2 linked regions of the Drosophila melanogaster genome follow. The protein of the gene in region 1 interacts with the protein of each later gene in a pairwise test. Each region holds a gene or a part of one and is shown on either strand. Other genes may lie near its edges.

What was found. Proteins that work in one complex are often made in the same cells at the same time.
Region 2: the proteins of Tsp96F (region 1) and CG10165 interact in a two-hybrid assay, tested with the Drosophila melanogaster proteins (one large-scale study listed by BioGRID).

The regions. Positions count from the first base shown.
Region 1 is NT_033777.3:25,876,811-25,885,670, forward strand, and holds the start of Tsp96F (tetraspanin 96F), read right to left. Parts: upstream 4,618-8,860; 5' UTR 4,272-4,617; coding exon 4,206-4,271; intron 1-4,205. Other genes in the region: SppL (signal peptide peptidase-like), read left to right, coding at 8,728-8,860.
Region 2 is NT_033779.5:19,524,666-19,533,751, reverse strand, and holds CG10165 (uncharacterized protein), read left to right. Parts: upstream 1-3,446; 5' UTR 3,447-3,483; exon of another isoform or gene 3,484-3,562; coding exon of another isoform or gene 3,563-4,658; intron 4,659-4,755; exon of another isoform or gene 4,756-4,806; coding exon of another isoform or gene 4,807-4,974; exon of another isoform or gene 4,975-4,981; intron 4,982-5,382; 5' UTR 5,383-5,499; coding exon 5,500-5,664; intron 5,665-5,798; coding exon 5,799-5,991; intron 5,992-6,046; coding exon 6,047-6,375; 3' UTR 6,376-6,842; downstream 6,843-9,086. Other genes in the region: CG10137 (uncharacterized protein), read right to left, coding at 1,082-1,224, 1,285-1,386, 1,440-1,585, 1,642-2,657, 2,724-2,838, 3,563-4,658, 4,807-4,974, 6,941-6,980; Dpm1 (Dolichyl-phosphate mannosyltransferase subunit 1), read left to right, coding at 7,428-7,531, 7,589-7,799, 7,868-8,278; CG10132 (uncharacterized protein), read right to left, coding at 8,511-8,728, 8,786-9,086.

The DNA of each region.
Region 1 (8,860 bases):
TCTCACGCTGGGCACACGCGTCAATGACGCCATCTGGCGGCAAGGCGGCAATTAAAGTGGGAGACTGCCCCGCCCAGTTTCGCCTTGCTTTAAACTTCTATAGTTTCATACATATGATGTCAGCTTAGTTGGACGCAGACTATATACATAGCAACTGCTGTTGCGCTTCTTTTAATTTAATTAAAGGCAGTAAACAGAAACCAAGTACAAATTACAATTTTCCCCATTCCATTCAATTTGTTAAAAAAAAAATCAGTAATTCTATCCAGTATACAGATTCAAAGGCAGCTTTTTGAGCTCCGAACTTTCAAAACCCGATAAGAAAAGGCCCATTAAGTTTGAAAATCAATGATGCGATAAAATTTGGTTTAAAGTTAAATTTTGGCCTTCATCGCCAAGACATACTGTATGTATATACATATAGAAGTGGCAAGACATTGATCCCAAGCGAGAATATGAGAATTGCGAGCTCGTGTTATCTCACTTCTCGGGTTATCAGCAAACGAAATATGAACTTTTCTTTGGATTTCCGCTAAAAGAATTCCGGTAATGTATTTCTTCTTAAATTTTCCTACCCAGATATTAAACACTAAACTTGCTATTGCCAATCCATCCACCAGAAAAATGTTGTTCCGCTCGTGCAATGAGTAAGAGAATCTAATATAGAGGTAATGACTTAATGGGTTGGTCGAGGTGTCTATGCAAGTTCATTAATTATTCAGCAAAATTATTCATCGCAGGGAAATTGAGTGTGCGATGAGAGCTAATCAAGAGATGTAAACAAGTGCACATATTACATGGGAAATATGTAAATTTAGAACCACTTAAGAACCGATGGCTAACTGAGAAGCATTTCCAAATACAAAACACTTCTTATCTCGTATTTTTTCTCAGCCCGCAAGCTTTTGTAATTGCCAAGAGCATCAGTGCTTTCCGATAAGATTACGCAGTGGATCTCGCAATAAGCAAATATCTATTTAACTTAAAGATACAGCAAAATATAAGATACAGTTTTTGGCGCCCAGGAAAAACGGATGAAAAAGCATGAGGAAGTCTCGTAAATTTCATGAAAATCTTATGAAATATAAGAGAAGCGGAGACCGGCTTTTATGTGGGTGGTCCACGAAAGAGAGAGCTGCCATAAAGTGAGCGAGACAAAAAGTGTGCCACAAAGTGCACGATATGCTGGCCCTAAAGTTCATGAATGTGCATGTGTGCAGCTAACGGAAAAACTACTCATGGAAACGTAATACAATGTTGCCCCATTCGAGGGCAGTTTATTGAGTAAGTACATTGTAACCAGAAGCCCTTGTTTGCATAGATTTTACTTATTTTTCCAGGTCAGGTTTTCGGGTATGGATCAGTAACATAATCTTGAATTTGTTCATGTGTTGAATTAAAAAAAAAAATGTTTCTGAAGAAGAGGTTTATTCCTAGAGCTCTTATAAAGTATGTGTATGTATATACTACTTTGGATAAACCTCAATTCCCTTATCCTTTTAGGGAACAAAAGTTGACCTCGTTTTGAATCAGTCCCATTATCCCTGAACGAACTGAATCCACGCCTTGTTTGTAGCTCTGTTTGTTGGAATTTTTACGATTCCCCGAACGTTTTCACACACATATATTTTTACACATCTGACACTATGTCGCGTGTCCAGGACAAACAAACAAAAATCCTGCCGAATGGGCCAATAAATGTACAGAGTCCTTCGTTGACCCAGTTTTCAGAGCCGAGGCGTCGAAAGCGGAAAACGAGAGAGCATTTTACTGCTGCTAAATTGCAAAAAAAAAAATAAAATGGGGCCAAAAGGCAGCTGGGCTTGCATTGCATGTCCAGTCACAGTTTTGTCCCACAATTAACCGCATCGATGGCAAATCGCAGCCAACAGCCATCATGCATCAGCCATAAGCTGAAAATACAAACTGAAAAATGAATGAAGCGCCACTCATGAATAATTGAGTGAAAAATAGCACAGCGAATTAAGTATGTAGATGTGACATGTCACAGCGAATTGAAAATAGATACAGGCCAGCTTCGTTACTTGGAGAAATATTTTTAAATATTATTTTATTCACAGCAAAAGATTACATTTTTTTCAGGAATTTAAGAATTCTGCACTATGGAAGTCTGACTGTGCTGAAATAAATGGTTTTTTTAGTGGGTGGACAGGATAGGATTGTCAGATGGTCGACCGAATATTTGGAAATCTTTCAGTTTTGGTCACTGTCAACTTCAATGACGACAGCGCCGGCCGTTTAGCATTTTAGACGCTTATGGCATAGGCCTCCCCCAGCATCTTGGATGTGGGATATCGGCCCCATTGGAGCGTCAGCGTCCTCAGAGATCGTGGCGTTTGATCACGATGCCCCACGGCGACGATGAAAATGGAAATGTTTGGAAATCGATGCACAGTGGAGAGCGAGATTCAAAACTAATCGGACAGTGGTCATTTTTTGCGAAGTTATATAAAAATACTATTATTAAATTTATTATGGCTTTGTGGGGTAATTGATAACATGCCCTGGCTAAGAATAGCCTCAAAACAATGTATAAAAAGTCTTATATAAAATAATATCTGACGCACTTTCATCCATAAATCGCTCTAAAAATAGTTCAAACGATTAGTGAAACGAACTGCATCACAAACACATCACAATTTCTATCGCTCATTGTTCCTCCACTGAAATCAAACACACCACTGTGCATCCAACAACAACAACGATGAATACTAAAACATCACAGATCAAGGAACATTACACAGAAACCAATTATTGGATATAATCTTATTGGGATCGGTTAATTTTAATTTTTTTTACATGACATATATACAATAAACGAAAAATAATTGAAAGGTATTCGAAAGTTTCCAAACACGAAACTTGGCTAGGCATCAGTATTTTCTTTCTGTGTACAACAACGAAAAACTGAACGGACGCGTAAGTTTGTGTTGTTCCTCGCCCGTATTCGAAAATAGCTTTTGACTAATAAATACTATAGACAGAAATCGAAAAAAGGCAGCAACAATCAACAAACGAACGAAAAAAAAATTAGAAATCAGCCCGCATAAGAATCAAAATTTTAAATTTGTTGCCCAAAGGAAAAGCGAAACTGATTTCGCAAGCCGCGGAAGACAAGAGGAAACCCCAAGAAAAACTCAAGGAAACTCAAAACAAACGCAAACAATCGCTGTGGCAGATAGTAATTGAATGGAAACAATTGAAAGCCTAACGAGGCTATGTTGAAAGTCGAAAATTGCGTAAAACAACAAGCAGATAAGTTGGCCAAAGAAAGTAAAACCCTTTTTTTTGGGGTGAGGAGAGGTCCTTTTTTACCGAATTAAGCCAACCGAAGTTTGTAAAAATATCAACGGCACGTATACGTTATAAAAATAATAAAACAAAAAAAGAGAGACAGGAAGAGACAGAAGCAAAAGAAAAACAACTGAACAAACATGTGGAGGGAAAAGAAAACAGTGGGAGGTGGGAATGGAGATGCTTAAATGTTTATCTGTCTGTGTGTGTGTGTGTCCCCTCCCACAACGGAACTTCTATTGTTTTTATGCGGGAGTACGAGCAGAGCGGTAGGGAGTGCGAGCGGGAGATGGAGAGATACAGTGATGTCGCTTTTAAAAGCCAGTTGAAGTTTTGAAGTTATAAATGGTAGAAAATAATTTAAAGTCAAATAGTTCATAACAAACAAAACCGATTTGTTTAATTTCAAAAAGAAAAACCCTTCTATTAATGTTTTTAATTAACCGCGTACTTGAATATTTATATAATCTTGTCCATTTAATGTTTTTAAGCCCGCTCATTAAAAAAAAAATATTTAAGTTAATATATTATTATATTTATTTTATTATTTATTTATTTATATTTTTTACTTCCTTTTCGATTAAATATTTCAAGCCGTACTTAAATAAGTTTCAACTTATGTTTTGGGCACCTCTGGGATCGAGAGAGTGGAAAGAGGGACTGAAAGAGCGGTAGGACTCCAAAGAGCGTGCGCACGGCTCCTCCCTCCGCCCGCGCGCCAAGCGTGAGAAAGAGGGGCGTAGGGAATACACAACACACACACATTCGCTCACGCAACACCCACACACACGCGCGCGAAAAGGAGGTCCGTGTGTTCCAGTTGTTGTTGTGATGGGAGAGAACCGAATCTCGCATTGTTGTTGTTGCTGCTGCTGCTGGAATCTACATACCCAGAATAAAATGTTTATAAGGACCATCAGATATTTGACGCACGAACAGCAGCCGTTGAGACCCATGGCGCGGATTGATATTCTTAAATAGGTAACTCCTTAAAAAGTAGCTGCAATTTAACTGGTTTTTCAACCACTTGGAGATGCTCTTTTTCCAAGGAACCCCGAACTGCAGTGTCGCCTGCACTTTTCGACCTTTTGCACTTTTTCAAAACACCCGCTCGATTGTACTATATTTTTCAAATTTTTTTAAAATTTCCCGTGCTAAAATCCACCGATTTGAGCCACTGTTTGCGCGATTGGCCGTTGCACCCGATTTGTTTTAAAAATTTTATTTGTGCATCGAGGCGTCCGTCCAACGTAAAATTCTTGTATCAGTGCGACCATTAGCTCGGCCGTTCAAATATACCAGCGGGTATAGAAAGGCTAAAAACCGAAAAGTGGTGACCCTTAGAAGATACCAAAGAAGTGGTTGAATAACTTTGATGAGGCTTAGCATGGCTTGCAACCTGCTTGGATTTGCAGCCTATACGCAAACCAAAGTGGCCTATCGATATTTTGGATAAGTTCTATTGCCAATTTTCCCAATAAAATAAAAACTTCACTTGAATGTTAAAAGTAATTTAGTTTCAGTGTTTACATAATGTTCAAATAACCTTTTGATTGTTATTATGAAAGTTAAAAATTAAAAATTTAGATATTCTAACTAACTATTATCCCCAATGTTTCAGCTATAATCACCATATTTAAAGTAGATTTCATTTTAAAGTATAAATTTGTGGTTGTTTACATTATTTTAACATGTCTATTTAATTATTACTATGAAAGTGGGTAATTGAAAATTAGGATATTCCAGGTTTTTGATTTACTTTGGCTATGATTTTCCCAAAATATTTAAATCTGTAAATGTAAACAGTTTGAAATGTGACCTTAATAGTTCATGCTTTGTTCATTCTTCTGCGAAACGGTCACACTGTTCGCGCAGGCGAAAATGGCCTAAAGCGTGAAATGTTTAATTCGTTGTTGTTTCTCCTCCGCAATAGTTACTAATAGAAACAAATGCAAAATGGCTGTCTAACGTTTAAGTGCAGCGACCGCCGAAGATCGTGGAAATATGCATGAAAAGCGGCTCGCAGGCAAATGAAAGGCGCGTGAAAATGTAGCAGACACCTTTTTATCGCGAAAACGAACATCGGTGCAAAGGGAAAAACAAAAACCAAGGAAAATACAGCCAAACGCGAATGTGAATGTGAAGGCAAAGTAAGCGAAAAGTCCCCCAACTTTTTTGGGGAGTATCGAGTGCACCACATACGTTTTTCAATATATATTTCGATTGCATTGAAATCAGAAACATGACAATTTCCCCCCTTCCCTTATTGCTGTTGTTGTTGTTGTCGGCTTGTTGCAAGTTTGTGTGAGTGTGTCTTGTAATTTTGTTACGCAGTGGAGCGAAGTTGGAGTTTTGTGGAATGGAAATGGAATGAAGTGGAACGAAGTGGAGTGTAACCAAACACGAAATGGAAAAACGAGGAAAAAACCTTAAAGCGCAGCCTAAGCTTTAGTCGTACTGAAAATTTCTCAAGCGCTGCAAGCCAGTCTTTGCCAAAGTAAAGCCCCTACCTCCCCCCCCCTCTTTTTGCATAATAAACGAAAAACGTTGCGCCCACTTTACGCACTTGTTTTTATGCTTTCCGCGTTCAGTGCACTTAAAAACTTAATTGGTTCCCCCGTCGGCGGTGCTAATGTAGCGCATTTCACTGTTTTCAACGTAAATATAATTATATTAGCAAACGTTTACAAGCAAGATTGGATTAGTAATATGTAGTAGCTTGCTAGAAATCCTAATAAAAATGTGAATAATAATATATACGGTTTCATTTAATATTTTGAAAAGTTTTAATAGAAAAAAGTACAGCTTTTCTAAAAGCTACCCTTATATTGTGTTTCTTTCTCACGAAATAAACTACTGTGTAGAAGGTAGCGGTAAATATTTATGTTTAAAGTCCACTCTCTTCTATGTTAGAGGTATACCCCTCGCCCCTTGGCCACTGCGAATGCTGTATCTTCGCCAATTTCACTTTCACATTCGTCGTGGGCAGTTACAGCGAAGCCAATTGCTTGGTACTTCTTTTATTTTGTTTTTGTTCCCCACTTTGGGGCGTTTCAAATTAGAAAGTGTTTGCGTGTGTGTGTGCGCATATGTAAGTTTATGCGTGAGTGATGCGAGCGGCGTTTTCTCAATGATTTTGGCTAATTATGTAGCTCATTTTCGATAACCGCTTTAAACTGTGAAAATTGTGTCAACTTTGGATACTGTAACTTTACACCCGCCACATAATTTCATTTTAATTAGCGCTCGTTAACAGTTTTCCATCTCCCCTCTCCATTTTGTCGCCCTCTTGAAATTGCAATGTGTGGGAAACTTAATTTGTTGCATCTAGGAGGTGAAAGAGGGAGATAGAAACTGTGGGAGACGAGAAAAATTAAATGAACAACACTAATTCAAATGCAAAATGAAATGTACAGACACAGATACAGTTGTGTAACAATTGTTAATTAATTAACAGAAACTTTTAAACTCAATTTTTGAAAGACATGAATATTGAATTCTATATCAGGATTATTTAAAGCACTAAGCAAAGCGTAGTTAAAATGGATTAAACCTGTTTTCAAATATAAAATGAGAAGAAATGTGGGTTATTTGGGCTCAAACAAGTTTTAATTAACCTGTAAAAATACGTGACATTTTGTATATTTCTTGATTTCGGAGCTTTAAAGAATCCCTATAAATTTGGCCATCGCTTCATTTATACATTATTACATACATATGTACATATGTACGAATTTCAATCATTTACATTCCGCACACAAACATGAAAAGAGACACCAATACACATGCACCTACATTTGCCAACAGTCAACATAAATTAGTGCGAGCAACGGCACTTGGCAACATGCAACAATAGCAACAAAAGCGACATGATTGAAGCAACAACAACACCGACCAAGGAAGTTGCCAACTGTCCCGCTTTGTCTCTCTTATTGTCATTCGCAACTATCCCGCTCTGTCTCCCTATTGTCATTAGCGAGTTAGCAGAGCGCCGCTCTAATAACAGCGCCTTTACATTTCCATTTGCCAAGTGCAACAACCCTGCGTGGGTGTATGAGTGCGTTGTGTGTGTGAAAATACTATAGAATTGGTGGCAATAACAATGGAAAACTGGCATCGTGGAAAACTGGGTAACGCTTTTATAATTTATTCCAATTTTAACTGCTTTTTACGGCCTTCTTCTTGTCTGTTAATTGTTGTTATTGCTGCCTGTAAATCCCATGCGGACAATCTGTTATTTTCTCACACCGGTTGTTGTTATTATAATTTCCCTACACAGAAAACAAAACGTGTTCAATTTAAAAAAAAACGTTTCTTATTGTTTTAGAGATATCTATTTGTGAAATATGGAAATTTATGATGAACGTTTTTGATAATTATTTTAATAAAATTAACTTTCAAAATGATGTGGTATAATATTTTTCTCTGTTTCTTCACTCAATGTCTAGAAAGGAAAGGTGCATTTGTAGCTTTAAATAAGAAATGGGGAAATAAAATATAATTTCTATATATAGACAGAGTCCATACATGTGTATGTTTATATGATATGTCTGGACGCGTTTTTACCGCTATTTTTAAAAGTGTAAAGGTAAACATTCTTCCAAAAACAACATTGCGTTTTCCGCAGTTTCTGAGTTTTATTTTCATTACATAGTTTATTGCCTTGAAATAGGGGGTCAGTTACAGGAGTGTGATATATTCATTAATATTTAAAAAAAAAAAGCTATAATAAACAAATTAAAAATGCAGGAATGACATTTGCAGTTTATGAATGTCATATATAAACATTTATTAGTTTTCTATCCATTAGTTTAAATGATGTTCAATTTATAAGCGTATACAAATTTCTCATTTTAAGATATGTATCTTGTGGATACAATAAATGTGCACATAGCCCTGCTGCATGTCTCAAGTTTCTTAAGATCAAGTACTTTCTGGTGCTTAAAATGAATTTCGGGCTGCTGACGATTCTAAATTGTACTTCACTTTTTAGAGTGTGTATGGCGTTCTAATTTGCTTTCATTACCTAATTCGTGAGGCGCGTGAAAGTTGACCCCAAGGTTTCCGCGCTCGACTTAAGGCGACATCGTGGAAAATAAACCTTGGGAGTGAGTGTGTGCTCCGAATAGCCTAATCGCAGTTGTCCAAATAACCTGAAGAAGGTAAAAAAGTATACGGGGTTACGTGCGATAAGGTCGGCAAACAAAATACTTATCGTTAAATCAATATGCCTAACCAAAATACTTTTCATTTCAGTTTGGATTGAAGCGGTGCAGCTGACATAAGAACGCGATAAATCCAGCGCAGGACGACCGATAAGCGAAGAAGCCAGCCGACTGGCGACTACAAGTGATATCTGAAACTATATCTGCGATATAGATTGAAGTCGCATCCGGAGGAACCGGAGCGAGCATGTCGCACGGTGGAGCCGGTGGCGGTCTGGGAGCTCAAACTGTTGGAGCCGGCCAACTTGGAGGCGGTGCAGCGGCAGCTGGCGGTGGAGAATACCGCGAACTCCACTGGACGGTCTCAAGCGTAATGGACT
Region 2 (9,086 bases), on another chromosome or scaffold:
AAAAAGGAGAGCACCGAGGAGGCGGGGGTTCTTTGATAAAGGCAACTCCTGAGCGCGCGTTGGACGTTTTTAGCCGGATGGTCAGAACATGATGACAGAAGTCTAACGTTAACCGATGCGGAAGTGAAAATTCTGGGCACGACTTTCGGCCAGCTATAGCTCGCGTTTATTTTTATTGCGAAAACTGAATTCTGCCGCTTCTGTTGCCGCCGCTGCCGCCGGCTGTTTTTTCTTCATTTACGCTCGCACACGCACAGCCACCAACACTGACGCGCTACCCTAGGGAGGTTTTACAACACTGCTGAAACGAAACAGCGCAGCGCGCAAAAATAGTGGTCCAGCAAATCGTAATAGTCGATTCAATCCGATTTGTTTCGAAAATGATTGTATAGCTATCAAGAGCAATTAATGTTAGATTTTCTAGTTACGTATGTAAAAATGATTAAATTAAACGAAGTAGTTAATTTCTTGATAAGTTGTTTGATATTAAAGTTTAAAATACCCATGTTTGACAATTTATATTATTTGATCTTTTATTTGCATTTTCCTAATGCTGTGGACTGCAGTTGTTTCTATTTGAATGACTGCATTGCCCACACATAACCATTTATGGTTGGTAAATCGTGCAATTGTGTTGCATATTCCTTATATGCAAAGCAATTAAAAATTTATTAAGGAATGCACTCCAAGCATATAAATTGGAAATTTAATGCAAGCAAGGTAACACATTTATGGACTAGAGTAATACATTCAAACCACTCAAATTCATGTTTAAAACGGTATGGATGGGCTTTATTTATTGTAAGGACGTTTCAAAAATTCTCGTTACATTTAACAAATCACATTGCGTACAAAAAATACAAAAGAATGCACATAATAGATCTAACTAATCGGCTTAACAAAATGTGACTAACTTAAGTGCTCTGAGTGAGAAACGAATTGGTTTAGTTGTTTAACTAAATGAGTTCGGCTGCTGCGACTGAAATTAGATAGCTTCCTTGAGTAGGTATCCTGACTAGAATAGTTGCTCTAATAAATTCGCTAATTCGCTAGGCCAATAGATCGATTAAGTGTACGCTTTCTAATTTGACTTCTTGAGATTCCTCTTGCGTATATTCCCGGGACAGCCGCCGGCGCTGAGGAGATGCAATTTCCAGCCGCCGTCTTGGGGAAGGTGAACATCGTCATGACAAAGGGGACATCGAGCAGCACCCGTTTTCAGTTCTGGAGAGGGGAAATGGTGATATAGTGACTCTAGAATTTATCTCAATTTCAAGTTTCTACCCCGACAATAGTCCTCCATCTGATGTAGTTCATATAGCTGCTTGTGCACCGATTCAGTGCAACGGACACAGACCACGTAGCTCTCCTTGGCATCGCATTCCGCTGGGGAATATTCACAATATTAGTTATCCTACGGTATTATATTGCAGACCTACTTGTCAGGTGGTAGTTCAGAGCAGCAACCTCCAGCACTTGACTGCATTGTGGGCACTTGGTGAGGAAAGGACACGCCTTCCAGTAGTGTCGGTCCAACTGAGTAGCGTCACTGCCGGCACACGACCAGTCGCAAAAGGGGCAACGTCTAAAAGAGTATTAATATTATTGCGGATCCTTGAAGAATTCAATTTTACTACACACATTTTGGGTGTGTTGTCTTCAGTGGACTCCGAGTTGGAAGCGGATCCCTTGCGCGAGTTGCTCACGGATAGCATGGAGCGCTTGAGCTGCTCGTTGTACTGCTGCTTTCCATTGCAGCTGGCATATCCATTACTGGAGCTGGCCATTGGGCCTAGGTTATGACCACTGCGGCTATTCATCAGTCGAGAGGCATCTGAGCTGGTGGACGCCTTATCCGCCGGCGGTGTTGCCGCATCGCCCGAGCTGTGACCCCCGCCATACTTGCTAGCCTCCAGCAGCTCCTGCTTGCGGTCCAGATCCAACTTGTCAAATTCGGTGAAGAGTTGGCGGTACAAGAGATTGCGACGCGTGATGTCGTCATCCGGAGGTAACTGCTTGCGCACCAGTCGGGGATTCACCTTGTAGACGAGCAGCAGGATGCGCTCGGCCACCTTTCGCACAGGCTCCGCTGGATGATGGATGCCGGAGCAGCCGCACTCGGACAATGCCCTGCAGGTGAGTCCACTATGCTTGTCCGTGCTAATGCCCTGAGTGTTGACCAGCTGCTCCAGCATCTGCAGCCGACTCATTGCCAGTCGCTGGTGGGTTCCGGATCCAACGCTTCGTGATAGTGCTGGCGCAACCAGGTGCTGCTCCGCCACCTCCGGACAGGCGGCGATGCTTAGGATCGTGTGCTGGGCCAGAGTGTGCAATCGAGCAGATGGATCGCCGGACTTGGCCAGCAATTCGGGCAGCAGGCGGTCCACGCAACGTGCCACCTCGTTGGGGGAAACTCGACCGGGCACATACTCTAGGAACAGCATGCGTACCGTCTCAGTAGCTTGGCTAAACACGGAGTAAACGGCATCTCTTACAGCGCGATGCAGCAGAAGGGCGGCGCTGCGGGCCACTTTGTTGGGACTGGCAGCGTGCTCGTTGCTCGACGCCTCTAACAGGTCGTGCTCCTTTAGGAAGTTACGCAGACGCATCAAGCCATCCTCGCGGTCCTGAAACTGACGCGAATAGAACTGCTCCACCTGGGAATATACATATGTAGGGCACGTATTGAATATGTTATCTATTGGATTTAATGGGGGACTCACCAGCTCATTGCCGAAGACCAGGATGGGAAGCGCTGCCTGGCGACGCTCGCGGTCGTTCAGGCGCGAACGCCCACGGTTCGGATCCGCTTCCAGTAGCGCGTTGCCTTGGCACTCCCTTAAAAATTCATTAGTATTTGAACTGTGAGCGGTTTGTGTTTGTTGTATCGGAATGGCAACGTTTACGGATGCGGTTACAATATACATATAGGAGTAGAAAGGTAAGTACGATTAAAGGTAAATCTAACAACATGTTACTTTCAAATGCGTTCAAATAACGCCTAATTTAAAGTTTTGTGTATAGTTTCGAAATTTCATTATATGAAATTAACTATGAAACCGTTCAAACTATTTTTAATCTTTTATAAAAGTTTCTAAGTTGTTAATAAAAACATAAATACTTTTCTCTAAAAGCAAATTTTAAATACTTTTTAAAATATCTAAAAGCAAAATTTCTGTCAAAAAGCCTAACATTTAAAAGTATCTCAAAAATACCTAATTTCAATATATAAAGAATTTTTGCTTTTGCTTTAAAAAGATAAATCCTTTTCATGTGTTTAGAGCAGATAAAACGGCTTTACTTAAAATTAAGCTAATAGATTCTCTTTCGTTCTTTGAAATTCTGGGCGAGCGTTAAATCTTAAATTAAAAAAAGTAACGGGTGTTGTTTCTAACGGTCGCTAGTGTTGACAAACATTCAAACTAAGAGTACCGGTTATCATGCAACACTGTAATAGACAGCTGTTTCCAGTAAACAAACGAAGTAATTACTATTCCACAATTGTTTACGTATTCACTAGACACCCAGACAACGATTACGACTCTCTACGCCCGCTACTCACTGTCGCAGCGTGGGAATGGCCCGCTCCTCGTAGTCTTCGTAGGAGTTTCGTGGAACGCTCTTGTTGCGCCTGCGCAGCGATCCCTGTCGGCTGGACATTGGTGAGCTGTGCCTTGAAGGCAGACGTGGCGACTGCGGCAGCTCGTCGTGGGACTTGCGCCAGCCCCCCAGCGTGGGAGTGGGCGTGGCCTGCAAAGAGGTGGGCGCAGGAGCGGGTGCTGGAGCAGGTGCCGGAGCTGTCAACGTATTGTCGTTACCAGGCTGGGAGCCATCGGTCGAGGATTTGTCCTCTAAGCTGAGACTCGTCATGCTCTTGGGACTGAAGGTGGCTTCCGCAAGTGCCTGTGCCACATCCTGCAGGCTAGGAGCCGATGGCAGACTGGGCTTCCCACCCGCATAGATCTCGCAGCTTTGGTCATTGGAGCTTAAGGTCACACCCTGCGGTTCCAGAAGCTGATGCACCTGCAATTGTCGAAGTACTGCCGCCCGGTACATCTCGATCTGCTCCTTGCGTAGCCTGGCCGTGGTAAAGTCCTCCTGCTGAACAGCCTGCCTCTTGGCCAGAGCATAGCGCCCCAAACGTTCTCCGGCAGTCCTTAAAGCTGTCATGCATAGCTTCAGTTTGCGGGCGTACTCGAATCTTTCTGAGTTAACGGCCAAAATCTTTCGCTGTTCCAACTCTCGGATGGTCTGCACTATTGACTCCTCCACATACATGGAGAAAAGCAGGTCATCACAGACGGAGGCCAGGGCCAGTTCTCCGGTGGCCGTGTCCAACGGTGGGGCCTCGTTGGCCAAGTGCTCCTCTCCGTTGCCATTATTTGGCCCCACTTCCAGATCCTCGCCCAGGACATTTACCGCTAGTAGGGAAATCTGGCCTGTGTCATTGTAGTCGTTTCCTTGGACGCCAATCAGACGCAGCTTAAGATGTGTGCCCCTACGTGGACACACGGTTACGCTCTGCAGCTCCCGAGACTTGTAGTTCGTGTTGGCATTATCCGCCAGGGCAACAAAACCCAAAAAGTCAAAGTACTGCGAGGATGGAGTGCTGGGCAGGGATTTGGGCGAGTAGTGCAGCCAGAGTTCTACTTTCTCAGCTAAACGAAAAAACAACACATTATAGGGAATACTCAAGCTGTTTGTTTATATGTTCATCTTTGATCATACTAAAGATCAGGCATTGATTATTTCTAGGTACTTATTAGGCTTGTAGCCAATTCCAATTAACTTAGCACATTAACTTACGTATAAGATACTGGTGTGCCAGGAGCTGGATGCGATAGATCTTGGCCGGCTGCTGGAATCGGAGGATGATGTCATGTGAGGTGAGGCTGCCGTTCGGAGCACTTCGCCATCCGTGAACTGTGGGGCCGTGATTGTTTAACTCGCTAGCCGGAAAGTTAACATCCTCGTCTGAAAGGCAAGCGAAACGATCCAATCATCATTACTTTCATGACGTTATAACCTATGTATAGGTGGCGCAGGCCATTATGACTCTCTTAATAAGTCTCTTTTTCGCACACTCAGCTAAATAGTTGCACATGATAACGATATCGGACTATGTTTCGTTCTCTTTCGGTTGCTAAGCTAACAGCAGCGGTCAAAACGAAAGCTAGCATTCAAGCGTGCCCAAAATAATAAGCCTTAAAATCTATTAAATATTCAGAAACAGGTTATCAGTTATATATGCGATGAAACGTATAAAATGGAAAGCATAAACAAAAACATTTGAGTTACTTTAAGAATTCTCAACTATCACTATTTATTCGAACGCAGCTGTACGAGTACAAACGAATCTAACTTGTTGTTCTCTATCCTCAGGTTCCACGCTCTTCTCTTCTATATTTAAGCGATGTCGATGTTAACATGCTAGTTTAGTCGTCGCTCAGCCGTTCGTGTTTTGTTACTGAATCAGATAGTATTATTGAATCTTTTGAAATGGCGGAGGGTTACACGAAAGCCACTGCCTGGCTGCAAATCCACAGCCTGCTGAATAGCATCAACCACATTCTGATCTTTCTGGTGGCCGTCTTCTTTTTCATACTGGCGCGCAGTCTGGAGTTCAAGGATACCGCCATGCATATGTTTATGACCGGGACTGGAGTGAGTACACGGCGATAAGCACTTGGCCACAAAATCAATAGTGTTAGATCGACCTGGATAACACGGACATGCAACGTCACTTGTTATCTTATCGAACTGGAGCTGAATTAAAAGGCTTTTCTTGCTCTCGACAGTTCCACGTCCTTATCGCCCAGGCCATGATGTCGCATTCGAAAGTGAACCCGCTCACCCGTTGGCTGTCGCACCGAAACAAGTCGCGCTTCCACGCCATCCTGCAGATTGTGGGTGGCTCCATGGTGCTGTTGGGCTCCCTGGGTAAATTTTCCAGCAAGGAGGTGCACTTTAACACCTGGCACGGCCGAGTGGGTGAGTAAATAATTAGGTTAATTCAGGAAAACCGATTAAAGCTGACATTTTGCAGGGGGAGCTGCTTCCTTTTTCTGCGCGGCCAGCATTGTAGGCGGTTTTGTCAACTATTTCCAGCCCAAGTTCGCCCTGAAAGTAATGCCTCCATCAGAGCTTCGCTTCCGCCATAATCTATTTGGATTGGTCACCTTTAGTCTGGGAATGGGCGCCATTTACCTGGGCTACTATTCGAAATTCTTTACCAAGTATGTGGATACTGACTTTATTCCCGGCATGATGCTGATTACCGGCATTGTTTATGGACTCACCATTATCGCGCCGGTGTCATCGCTTCTAACTAAACTTAAGTATCGGTCCAAAAAGAAGGCGGAGCAGGCCCAGTAGGTGATACTGGGGAGGATGAGGCTGAGGCCATCGAGGCTAACCAAAATTTGTCAGGTCCTAGCATGAAAATAAAGAGCTTGGCGTTTGGCCAAATTTAAATCTCTGGCCGCAACTCAAATTGCACATGCAGACACAAAAAGAGTCGACAACCCGGCAGTCTGACAATATTATAATGAAATATTACAGTCATCGTGGTTGCAGTGGTTTTAGGACGTGGTAAATTGGCCGAGACTTTGGAAAATTGATTTAGCATCCTGGCCATATTTAAATCGGACTATTGCCAGCTGATTAGCTGCAATTAAAAAGGCAGCGCCAGTCTATTTTAAATTCCAACGTCCTGGCGCACTAGGCGTATGCGTGATTTATCGATTTCTCAAGTGCAGCGAATTTTAAAGGAAGAAAGGGAGGTGGAAGACGTTTAGCTCTCAGCCAAATCCTGTCGCAACTAAAAATGCAATTAAGAACATAAAAAACACACAAAATAAAGCAAACAAATAAGAAAACTATAAATAATAAAAATCTTTCTGCAGCTTTCAGTTCATAATATATCCGAAGTTTTGTTTACCTGAGGCGAACACCACGTTAAAAGGTATTTTCTTAGCCATGTTGACGTCGCGCCGTCAAAAGCGCACTACTTTGCCACTTTTATTCGCTAATCCGCACATAAAGTGAGCACTTATTCTTAAAGCGGCCGTTCGCGAACTGTGTGACCGCACAATTTTTTATGATTTTTACCCTTGTGCTCTGGAAAGTATACTATAAAACTTTATTCGGCTGGGCGAATATACCAAAAACATACATCATCTACATAGAATGTTATTTGTTCAGCTTTATATTAAAGTCAATATTTTGTCAAATTAGATATTTTAATATCATTTATTTAACACATTTAAATTTACATTTGGAATTCGATACGTTTTAGCCACTATCTAACTATCTAGCCACTATCGACTTCGCTATCGATTCGAGCCAGCTGTTTTGTATTATTGAATTGACCAACACTCTTGTAGTTTTAATTGAAATTATTTACACGGTTCTTGAGAACAATTACAATGCCAACAAATGGCCATAAATACAGCATTTTGATGCCCACTTACAATGAAAAGGATAATTTGCCCATTATAATATGGCTAATTGTGAAATACATGAAGGCGAGGTGAGTAGCGGCTGCTCTAAGGTGCAAATTCAGGTATTAATTGCTCCCCCTTTGCAGCGGCTTGGAATACGAGGTGATTGTGATTGATGATGGTAGTCCGGATGGAACACTAGACGTGGCCAAAGACCTGCAGAAGATCTACGGGGAGGACAAGATTGTGCTGAGACCACGTGGCTCCAAATTGGGACTCGGAACGGCCTACATACATGGCATCAAACATGCCACCGGCGACTTTATAGTTATCATCGATGCGGACTTGAGTCATCATGTGAGTCTAGATAACAGGGTTAAACTAATAATAAGATAAACTAATAAGCTATATTTTTTCCGCTTCAGCCCAAATTCATTCCCGAGTTCATTAAGCTGCAACAGGAGGGCAACTATGACATTGTATCCGGCACTCGGTATGCCGGAAATGGAGGTGTCTTTGGCTGGGACTTCAAGCGCAAGCTCATCTCGCGCGGCGCCAACTTTTTGTCCCAGGTGCTTTTACGTCCGAACGCCAGTGATTTGACCGGCTCCTTCAGGCTCTACAAGAAGGATGTACTGGAGAAATGCATTGCCAGCTGCGTGTCCAAAGGCTACGTGTTCCAAATGGAGATGCTCGTTCGGGCTAGACAGCACGGCTACACCATCGCCGAGGTGCCCATCACCTTCGTGGACCGTATTTATGGCACCTCCAAGCTCGGCGGGACCGAGATTATTCAGTTTGCCAAGAACCTTTTGTATCTGTTTGCGACCACATAAAGAGAAAACCACCATTAGCTGGGTAGATTTTTAAATTTTTAATGTTCTTTGGATTTTCTTTGCTTTGTACATTTGGTAAGATTTGCTCAAAGAATTTTACATACATCTAATGAATTATGCATGAGAAATTTGTTTGCCATATTTATAATAATTCAGAGTTCTGCCTTCCTCGGTCTAGCACCCTGTTATGCTTCATTTATAATTTGAATAATGATAACTAGCGTTAATTGATTTAATTACTCAAGTCGAAAACTTTGTGCTGGTTGTCTGGATTGCCGTAAAGAGTGCCACAGTCATCGTCGAGGGCGCCCGATCCTCCGCCGTAGTTCTTCAAAGCCAGGGTCAGCAAGGAGTTGCGATCCTTGAGAGCCAGCACCACGAAGGCTCCGTTCGGCAGAATCTCACAAGTGCTCACTTGCGCCGGTGGCTTAAACACGGCCAGGGATTTGGCTGCAAGACCAGAAGGATGACTATACAGTTCAGTAGGGCGAAGACCGTGGTACATACCCGAATTCAACTCCCACATACGGACGGCCGAATCACGTCCCTCCTTGTCGTAGGAGAGCAGCACCTTTCCCAATGGATCCAGCTTCAAGAACGTTACCGGTGCATTGTGGCCGATCAAGGTGCTCTTGCAGTTGCCCGTGACCAGGTCCCAGATTAGGATTTTGGCATCTTCTAGGCCGGCGATGACGCAAGCGTTCACCTGGGAGATGGCCAGGGAAACTGTGTTGCAGGCGGGCTTCCATTTCTTAAACAGAGTGCCGCTCTGTAAGTCGTATACCACAATGAAGTTGGGCGTCGTCGG